Kluyveromyces lactis: one gene and its partners. The protein of the gene in region 1 purifies or fractionates together with the protein of each later gene. This does not show direct contact. Links are inferred from orthologs where the notes say so. Each region holds a gene or a part of one and is shown on either strand. Other genes may lie near its edges. The genes, in order: RSC9, ARP7 and STH1.

Region 1 (3,753 bases):
ATTCTTCAAGTGAAGTGTCTGCATCCTTTTTAGCAGAGTCACCAGTGTCCTTCAAATATTGAATAATGTCTTGACTAGACCAATTTTCAAATAGATTGTTGCAAATAACTACTTGGCAAGCAGCTGCACAAAATATCAAAGCACTACTAAGCTTCATCCTGCGTATTAATATTGTTATTCTGTGTAATAAGCTATGTCAATAAATCTTATTAATAACAGACACTTTAAATGATATCCTATACAAATATACCTAAGCCTAAAAATGCCAGTTGTTAAGCAAGAGAAAGTGTTCCACGTTTGTTGATATATATATATATATATATATATATATAGAATGGGAATTGCCAGAACAAACTTCTAGTTGACAGTGACAATGCATCACACTAAGTTGTAAAAATCGATGGCCACACTTAGTTCCAAATAATAGCTCTACACACTTATAATAAGGGGTAGGGTGACATGGATATACTCACGCATGGTCTAGCCAAGCTCACAATAGCGTCAGTTATGATGTTCGCTAACCCGTTACCTTTTTCCCTTATTTTTTGGATTCTAAAGACGTCTTTTTGCTAATGTTAAAGAAATGACTTTTGCGGTTTGCTAATGGCAGCAAGAAACGATGCAAAAGGACGACTGTGTCTTAAAATTGCAGATGGCAATGCCACCATTTGTATTGTGCCTTAAGGTAAAAATTCTTCCGGACGCCGTGATGTGTGGAATTTGCTTTGATGTATGTATGAGTAAGTAATCAGATCAGATCACTGAGAGTGATAACTCTGGGGGAGTTAGGGTCTAGGAAACTAATTAGGTAATTAGAATGTGTTTGAATCAGGGCAGAAATGGAAAAGAAGGAAGAGAATCAATGGGTCGTTTGAGTCGATTTGATGTTGAGATTACACTGAATCATCGGTTGATGATCCGTTCCTTAGCGTGGAATTACCACTTTTCGGTCACATGATCAACGTCAATTGCCAGGGAGGTGAATTTAAACTCGTTGTTCCCATAACCATTTGAAAAGGACTTAGGCTGTCACAGAGGGGATAGTCAGTGTTCATAAAGAGGATAAACCTAACTGTCAGAACTATGATTAGAATCACTAAGCAACAGCATATAGTCTTTAATCTGTCCTTGTTACTATGTACGGAGAGCATTTATGTAATCATTTACCCGGATATAAGCCGTATTATTGAACTCGAAATTCAACAACATGCAAAACAACGAAAGATTCGAGATGGACTTCTTAATATGTACAATGACAGAAAAGGAAAACGCGACTAATTAGATGGAGCTTACTTTCTTTGTACCTATATCGGCGATCTAGATACCTTAAACACACCTTCTTTCGGAGACTCGCTTTTTTCTAGTTTTGTGTGATACCTAGTGCTTCACAAATCAATAGATGTCCAGCCATTCAGTCACTCCGGTGATCAATGCTGAAGGAGAAACAGCGATTCCAAGCTTGAAGACATTGCCCGCAACACAATTAAATATTAGCAGAGACCAGACCAATGGTATTACCGCTAAGCCTGTTGCTGGGTTGCAACAATCATTAGGCAGTTTGCCTATCTTCAATCATTTGCCTGTAAACTCTAAGATTGGTGTTGATGATCTCACCCGTATGAAGATGGCATTGTTAAGTGGAATAGACGAAGAAGTTAAATTTGCATTGAAAAGATATTTACGGTATAGCATTAACGCTTCTTATGTTATCAAATTGAATGAGAATTTGGATTTGTTGCCCATTATTATGCCCTTGATTACAGCATGCAGAGAATACATTCCACAGCTTGTTGGCCCAATTTCCAATCAGGCTTTTGAAGCCCTACAAAAAGGTTCAATTACAATGCTTCTTTTGAGAAATTTGGCACAGGACTCGGAAAACACTTCGATATTAGCCACCGATATGGAATTGAAATCGTTCATATTGTTCGTGTTGGAGTGGGCAAATACGTTCAATTCGAAGGATTCGGCAATCTATCAGTCACATACATCCAGTTTCAACGAATTGTTAATCTATACTCTTGATTTAATGGAGGCGATTTCATCTTATATTGCACCAGCAAAAAAAGACGATCTATATTTCCAAAACCTCTGTTTGATATTTCGTGATACAAAGGATAGATACTGCGTGATCTCAATTTTGAGATCATTATCTAGACTCTTGGTGAGATCTAAATCGGACCAAAAGAGTGCAGCAGATAATTTGGATGATAGTTTGTTGAACAAGATTGTTCATAACCTTTTAATTGATAGGGATGAAGAGTTAATAATTGCTTCATTAGATTTCCTTTATCAATATATATTACCTGGTCATCAGAGAATAAAGACATTACTATCACATAAGGAAAGATATGATATCCTAGTTAGTACTCTCCCTGTTCTCCTCACGTATCATGTATCAACCCCTGATTATCATGCCCTTTCGAATACTAATATCAAACTTATACAGAGGGTAAAACCTCAACCACCAGCACACGCGCCTGAATTGCCAATGCCACTGCTCAAGGAATTATTTGAGCTAAACGAACCAATGCGTGCCACTTCCTGGTTGAGATGCTGCTTTGAGAGATCTCTGAATGGCGAAGTAACACAGATTCTTCTATGGAAAACTTATGAACAAACATTCAGCGAACAAGTAAAACTAACAGATCGAAAATTGATAACTGCCGTTGATTTCATTAAAAATGTTTCGAATGCTTTGCCCGGTGCATCCGCTTTGGTAGTTGTAGATGAAGCAACGTCGAAGAAAAAATTTGTAATAAGAGGTATACAGCCTCGCAGAAAAGCTCTTTCAATCGTAGAGGCAAATAAAGATATTGACCAGTCCTCGCCTATACAGACTGAAACCCCGGATGAATTTGAAAGCAACAATACTCCATCGGAAGCAGTTCAAATTTGTTTGCCAGATATTGTTTTCCCCGAGAATCTTTCTGATGTATCTAAAGCAAGTGCGTCATTCCTTTCACTTGTTTCTAACGATAGTACCGAGATCGTGGCACAATTTATTCATGATATGAAACCTTTGATATTACATCAAATTGCTGACGTGCCACCTTTAAATACTGTTCTTTTGGACTTCATACATTCAGGTTGAACTTACCGTTAGGCCGATAGAGTAATTAAAGTTGTAGTTTTGTAATAATTAAATGTATAACGTATCGATTAAAGGTAAAAATTAAACAACGGGAGACCTAACTAATGTATAAAATTGAATTAAAAATGGTGAAACAAAATAAAAAATAGATGATAGCAATTCTGACAATATCAGAATTTTGTATCGAATGGATCAGCGTAAACCCATTTTTGTCATAATAATCGTAAAACTCATCAAATAATAAATAAATAAAACTTTCTTCATGAGACAGATTGTTCATGGAAAGTATGATAGAAGTATAGTAAGAATAAGGTAACATCAGCAGAAAGTTGTTTAGTGCATGGAAGAATCTATAATATCTTTGAAACTCTCCACTTTAGAATGATGATCAGATAAGCCTTCAGATTTGTAAATGGCAGAAATGGAATCTAAAAGTACCATTAGCGAGGTCTTGCTAACGTTAAAAGAACCATTATCATTGAAGTTTATAACCTTTACAGCGTTGTTCAAACATACTGATTCGACGATGTTGTTGAACAAATTGTCAACCAAAATTGGGTTAATTTTTTGCCATATATTGAGCAACTGCAACATTTGGTCTTCGGTGAAAGTTATTGTTTTAAGATAACCCCTGAATCTCATGTAGTTTTCGAGTTTGG
Region 2 (3,350 bases), on another chromosome or scaffold:
CAACAATTGGGTACCTTTTCAAACGCTCCTAATCGACAGCAATTCACGATTCTGTCTTTGTTCTCATTGGTTTGTTTGAATGTGTAATTGCTGCTCTATCTTTTGTTATAATAATATCTAATTCTTTGAAGCTGAAAATTTCAAGGTTTTGGCAGTTTCTGAAAATTGATTGGCTGAGTGATACTCCAATTAACAATCAAGAATGGAGGTTAGAATTCATGCTAACCACACATACATACACCATTACATAGCACCTGAGTCTCATCTAAGACATTGGGACAATTCGGTTGGACTGGAAATCTGTAAACGATTCAATCCTTTGCTTCTACGAGTAGTTTGACGCAAGTTTTATTGATTAAACTGATTCTATGATCGTTGATCTGACGGATGAAAAGAAAAAGAGGCCTCTCAAAAATTAAGGGTAAGTAATTGAAAATACTTTAGGAAGAGAGAATACATAATGTTACAAAGTGATTAATTATCACGAGCATTTAAAGAGTGCTTCAAGAGAAATAGATGCGGGGTAAAATAATACCGTTTTTCTTCCCCCTCCCTTAGTTTCTCTTGTCTCTTGTCTCTTGTCTCTTGTGTCCGGTGTCCTGGACCTGGATATGTCTCAGTGAAGAGGGCAAACAGATAAGCTTCCTGTTCAATCATTGGACTTCGTTTGTTCTTGATGATTGGAAGCAGCCAATTGTTTTGCAAAAAGGTACGAACTTAATGAAAAAATGCGATCATTATCGTCCAATGGCTGGGCATTTGACGAATGTGAGTGGTCAGACAATATCTGCTGCGCAGAACTGCTCTTGTTGAAACCCTGAAACCCGAGCAGAATGTTCCCCATTCTGGAAGATGGTTTCTGTGATAGATACTCTGTTTCTTTATCGTATACCTCTTGCTCTAAACTATTCCACTTGGCTTCGAGTTGTTTCTTCTGTACTAAAGCATCTCGAAGCTTCTTCTTTAGTTTCTCGTATTCTTTCTTTTGTTCGTCCATAGTTGTGTGAGATGAGTGTTAGGTTATGTTAAATCACTTTACCGATAGAGTAGAACACAATCAAAACCAGATTCAAATCCGTTCGATAGCGGATCGTCTGTTTCATCCTTTCTTGTTATTATATATGCAAATTGGATGTTGAAGTAGTGCGTTCTTTCAAACAATATTAACATTGGCGACGAGTCCGGGTAACAGTACTGGAACTCAGTTTGGAATTTGAAATTCGAAGAACCGACGAAAAAAAAGCCAACATGTAAACATCAACATAAACAGTGTTATCAACTCTAGTATCCCGTTTAAGAGCCATAATTTTCCATTGATAGCAGTTATAATCGGCAAAAACAGGTAGCTGTTGAAGAAGTTAATCCTTATCTGCTTTTGAAAATTGAAGATCTTCTCTTTGTTCTGGTGCATATAGAGTGATTACGTTATATCTATTGCAAGTTCAAGATGCCGACCATGAAGAGTGTGGTGATACAGATCTCGCAGACTAGGGTTATTTGTGGGTTCAGCAACCAAGATTTGCCGCAGTTAATTGTACCATCTCAATATTTGGCCTATAAAAGAGATGGATCGGATGTTAAAGTTTTCGGTAAATGGGAAATGATAGAGCATTGCGACGATGAGAGCGCTGAAATATACCAATTGTACGATAAGAACGGACTTCCAAATGATTGGGATATGATGGATGCTCAATGGCAGTACATCTTTCAAAGCCTAGGCATACAGTTCGAAGACTATCCAGTATGTGTTGTCTTACCTTCCGACTTAAACAGTGCGCGTCGTAAGAGATTTATGGAACAACTGTTGGGGTACGGTTTTCCAATGGTCCAACTTTTGAATGAGGCTGTCTGCAACACGTTGAGTCAGGGAAGATCGAGTGGAATTGTGGTGGACATTGGCCACAGTGGAGTGAAAGTGGACGTTGTCATTGATGGTGTTCTTTTCAAACAATACCGCAAGGAGAACAAGATCGGTGGTGCATTCTTAAACTGGCAGATCTGCGATCAATATTTGAAGCAGGATTCGGGCAAATCAACGAAAATCTGGAGGGATGCCACTGAATGGCTACCCAACTTCAAGAATAGCATGCTGCAAGTTTCTCCGATTGAATTGGATGCTAATTATGACGTGGCTCCTCATTACCAACATATGGTGTCACCAATGGACTTGACCAAAAATTTCCTACTCGATAAGAAAACTCTCACCTTCACTAACAAACAGCTATACACCATTGGAGAACTCTTGTTCAAGCCAGTGATACACGTAAGTAACAATGCAAACGGAGATGTAGAAATGGCAGATGTCAATGACATAGAGAAAAAGCCACATCCGGAGAAATTAATTGGGGTCATTGGATTGATCAGAGCATGCATCCAAAGTTTATTAAATGGTGTCAATGCAATGTCCACCGCAGGCAGTAACACTACAGGGTCCTCCACTACGACGGGTAATGCTTCCTCGGGCAACCAAAGCAACAACAACGAGGATACGAACATCCCAACGCACAGCTACACTTCTGAACAACTACAAAGTCTACTGCTTACGAACATTCTAGTGACAGGAAGTACCTCGAACATTCAGGGTTTAGAGCAAAGAATATTGAATGACGTTTCAGTCTCCCTAAACGATCTAACCACAGTGAGGCCTAAGATCCTTTTCAAACAGACCAAATTAGACAGAAACTTCCAATCATGGCAATCTGCAACAACCTTATGCAGACTACCGTTGCGCGAATCGTTACATGCGTGGGAATCTATCGAATGAATGGCGATATCCACCTGCCCTACCTCTCACTCAACTGGCAGTATAAAAATATAATAATGTACGTACCGGATAATCTTCAAACCCAAGAAAACTTAAACCAAATAGTATTAATCCACGTGACCGGATCTGGAATAGTAATTGCGAAGAAGGATAATTTAGAGGCGCTGATCCTTTTCAAGAAAAGGTACCAAAATAGTAAGACAATACCCTAAAAGAAGGCATCCATTCTCTTTCAACAAGCATTTTCGCGTATAAAATGATAGAAAAAGACGCGTTCCGGGAAGATTTGACTCACTCCGAAAAGAAACGTAGTACGTTTCTTTTTTAGAATTTCCTCCTGGAAAAACAAAGGGACACCAGAAAACTCCGTAGAGACGTGGAATAATTATCTAATTATTCAAACACATGTACGCATTTAGATTAGGTATTATCAAGAATCTTCCTTTGAATTGCTAGGATAACGTAAACAGTGTGACATGGAGGGGAGGCTTATCAGAAGGTAAACACAATGTCCCTGATGACCCTTGGGTCATCAGGGACATCTTATCAACAGCAATAACAGGGACTTGTCAAGGATGTCAACAGT
Region 3 (3,745 bases), on another chromosome or scaffold:
TCTCTAGAATAACTTCTTCGACGGAATCGGTTGTTATTAATCTCAAAATACGAACTTCGTTCTTCTGCCCAATTCTGTGAGCTCTATCTTGGGCTTGTAAATCCTGATGAGGATTCCAATCAGTATCGAAAATAATGACCGTATCAGCAGTCTGCAAATTTAGACCTAACCCACCAGCTCTGGTAGAAAGTAAAAAGCAGAAGTACTCAGAATCGGGTGCATTAAACAGTTTTAACATTCCAGTTCTATCCTCTGCTTTGGTACCACCATCCAATCTCATATATTTAAGGTCTCGCATCCTTAAGAAATCTTCCATGATATCCATAACTTGAGTCATCTGGAAAAACATCAATACTCTATGACCTGACGCTTTAAATTTTGGAAGAACTCGGTCTAGAAGTTCAAATTTACCACTAACACGATACAAAATGGAGCTGTTCTCTCTCGTTGGGTTGATAACATTTTCAACCTCATCGAAAACGAATGGATGATTACATATCTTCCTTAACTGCATGACCTTGTTGTTCAAACCTTTGATACCAGCCTTGGTTGCACCTTCTGTTCCTGCACCAATAAAGAAAGCATTATGTTTTAACATTTGTTCGTATAGTTGCTGCTGGAGACTTGATAGCTTACATTTCACAACCTTCTCAACTTTGTCAGGTAAATCTTTTTCGACTTCCTTCTTCAAACGACGTAACAAAAATGGACGTAAAACTTTGTGCAATCTTCTAATAACTAGAAGCGTTTCTTCTTCTGTCATTTCTAGCTTTTCTTGAGTACCTGTGTTCGCGAATGGTGTATTAAACCATTCGTCAAATGTTTTTGAGGAATTAAAGATCTTAGGTAAAACAAAATTTAATAGAGCCCACAATTCTGGTAGATTATTTTGCAATGGAGTACCCGTTAAAATTAGCCTATTTTTTGTTTTGTAGTAATGTGTCAACGTGTAAGATAGTTTTGATTGAGCGTTTTTCATTCTATGACCTTCATCGATAATCATATGAGCCCAATCGTGTTTGGCCAACAGTGGACGATCCTTTATAATGTACTCATAAGTAGTTAGAACCACGTCGAAATTTCCCATTTTGATTGTATGTTGCAAAGCCTTACGTTGGTTTGGGTTCCCTTTGTACACAATGGTTCTTAGAGAAGGTGCCCATTTTTCGAATTCTATAGTCCAGTTCGTGATGGTGGATAAAGGGACAATCACCAAAAATGGTTGCCTCTCGTTCTTTATTTCATAAAGATAACTGATCAACGAGATGGATTGAATTGTTTTACCTAGACCCATTTCATCTGCGAGAATACCGTTAAGATGATTATTGTATAGAGACACCATCCACTCTAAACCCTTTAGTTGATACTCTTTCAACGTGCCTCCAACCAATATGCTTGGCTGTTTGTCTACTGTTTCCTTAATTCTGTGGGAAACCTCGTAATAATCAATTTTTTCTCTTTCTTCATCCGTGATTGGAGGAATTTCTTCACCCCTTTTGATGCGTACCTCATTTTGCTGCACTCTAACCGCTTGAGCAAGAGAATCCAAGAAAGAATTAGTTTGTTTCAATAGATGTGTAATTCTTGTATCTTTGGTTTGGTCTAACAATTTCAAATATGCTTCTTCATCATTGGACTTCAAGGCTGCTAAACGTTGCTTGGCAGTTCTTTCCATTCTTCTCTGCTCATCTTTCTCCAAATGACCATGCAAGTTTCCGATAGATCTACCCATTTGATAACAGCGATCACGTTGTGTTGTATCATTCTCCAATCTTTCGTTGATACTTGATACAATATTATTGATCCTTTGTAACCGTAAGTTTCTTTCTCTTCTCCTGCTTTCTACCAATTCCTGCCTTTCAAGTTCTTCTGCTAATCTAGCAGTTTGTGGAACGATGGTCTTCGGTCTAACATGAATGGATCTTTGAGCTGCTAAAGTATAAGGAGAGTCACGGAGAGATGGAATGATATTATGCGATTTAGCTGCAACACTTTCAATCAGCCTCTTTCTCAAAGATTTCTGTTTCGTTAGCATTTTCAAGGACTTGAGCTCCACCAAAGCTCTTAACTTGAAGTCGTCTGCGCCGGTAGGAATATCATCTTTAGTTACAAAATCAAGCGCATCATTTAAAGAATATGTTCCCAAATTAGAGGGTAGATTTTCAAGTTGTTTAATTCTTTTCGCAATGAGTGTGGAGATTATTTTTTCAACCTCCCAATCTCCAAGCGAGGCTTCATTTCCAGATTTAAGACGAAAGTTGCTTAAAGCTTCGGGAAGGCCTAAGCGCACACTTGTTTCGTCGAAATCAACAGAAAGTTTAACCTTCTCCAGTTGTACCGAGATATCAGAACTGTCGGAACTTACTGATTCATCATCATCATCCTCTAAGAGGCCATCCGGTATATTTATATCTTTACTCAAAAGCTGTAAGCTTACCATTTGCTCCTTCAACAACTTTTCGTCCCACTGAATATCTTTGGCTGCGTTTTCTCTTAACCTCAGCAGCCTTTCCTTGTACTCTTCCTGTTTATCCGAGATTTGGGTGAAAATTTGTTCAATAGCCTCAACTTCAAGCTTATTATGATCTCTATATTGAGAAATGTATCTGTAACGATAAATCAAATTTTCTAATTGTTCTTTCGTTTCAGGTAGTGGCAAGATTACTCTTTCCACCTTCTTCATTTCTTCTAGAACAGCGGCAATCTGGTTCTGTCCAATAGCACTACCACTGTCGTTCCGAAAATTGTTGTTGCTTCCTTTGTCAGCACCAACATGGTTGTCTTCGATATTGCCGTTAACGTCCTGGTTTTCAGTTTCGGAATTCCCATTATCAACATTCTCAGAATTCACTATAGGAAGCGGATAAGGAGGCGCTGTATCCGCGTTATTCGTTACGACGACTTGATCCATTGTTGTTTTATTTCACACTTCTTAACGTGATCCAGGTCTCTTCCCGCTAGTGAGCTTTAAACCTTTTTTATTCTGAAAGGGGGTAAAACAATAACTGAAGTCCTGCTAAAAAAATTCAGAGTTGTCACAAAGCTAACGCGATACAAACAGGTACTATTGCCCTAGAATTCTTTACTGTTTCGCTTTCGGTGCGTCTATTTTTTTAGCCGCCGTTGCCGTGTTGAAAACAAACCTCTGTTCGTCCTTTTCTCGTGTCAAAACTAAATTCAGAATAAAATCAAACTGTTTTCAAATTCATCCTCTTTTTCACAATTTTATTTATCGTGTTTACTTTTTTCTTTGACATTCACTATTGCCATGGGCCAAAGTACGGGTAACAACAACAAGAACCGGGTAATAAACCAACTTCGATCACGTGCCAAAATATTCGCATTAAAGTGGGCACCATTGTTTCTTTTCTTGTTTAATATTTCATGACCTAAAATGAAAATTTGGATAATACGCCATGGATGAGATGAGATGAGATTAGATGAGATGTGATGAGAGTGAACTATCAAGTTCCCCGATTGAGATAGTTACAGTGCTTCGAACTGTTACAAAAGTGTCTTCTGTATTGACAATCAAGGTTTGAAGAACTAAAATTCTCTGATTATAATGTCATCTCTTGCAGCTGCTCATGCTACCAACGCTGTGAACGCATTGTTGCAAAGCGTACTGCCGGGTTCTGCGTCGGTTAATGCAGAAAGAAAGAAAACAAGCCGAGACAAAGGCTCGAAAGCACAACTAATAGATAGGAACTTGAAGAAAAGAGTAGAGGTACAAGAAAAGGATGTA

What was found.
Region 2: the proteins of RSC9 (region 1) and ARP7 purify together in Saccharomyces cerevisiae (affinity purification with mass spectrometry; 5 studies listed by BioGRID). This does not show direct contact. The link is inferred for Kluyveromyces lactis from reciprocal best matches to the Saccharomyces cerevisiae genes RSC9 and ARP7.
Region 3: the proteins of RSC9 (region 1) and STH1 purify together in Saccharomyces cerevisiae (affinity purification with mass spectrometry; 7 studies listed by BioGRID, with this or other methods). This does not show direct contact. The link is inferred for Kluyveromyces lactis from reciprocal best matches to the Saccharomyces cerevisiae genes RSC9 and STH1.

Annotation. Positions count from the first base shown.
Region 1 is NC_006040.1:880,750-884,502, forward strand, and holds RSC9 (Rsc9p), read left to right. Parts: upstream 1-1,399; coding exon 1,400-3,094; downstream 3,095-3,753. Other genes in the region: double-strand break repair enhancer MSC1, read right to left, coding at 1-157; RPM2 (ribonuclease P), read right to left, coding at 3,428-3,753.
Region 2 is NC_006041.1:566,723-570,072, reverse strand, and holds ARP7 (Arp7p), read left to right. Parts: upstream 1-1,447; coding exon 1,448-2,764; downstream 2,765-3,350. Other genes in the region: EAF6 (Eaf6p), read right to left, coding at 650-997. UniProt on the Saccharomyces cerevisiae protein: Component of the chromatin structure remodeling complex (RSC), which is involved in transcription regulation and nucleosome positioning. RSC is responsible for the transfer of a histone octamer from a nucleosome core particle to naked DNA.
Region 3 is NC_006042.1:436,773-440,517, forward strand, and holds the start of STH1 (RSC chromatin remodeling complex ATPase subunit STH1), read right to left. Parts: upstream 2,912-3,745; coding exon 1-2,911. Other genes in the region: RRT14 (Rrt14p), read left to right, coding at 3,566-3,745. UniProt on the Saccharomyces cerevisiae protein: Catalytic component of the chromatin structure-remodeling complex (RSC), which is involved in transcription regulation and nucleosome positioning. RSC is responsible for the transfer of a histone octamer from a nucleosome core particle to naked DNA.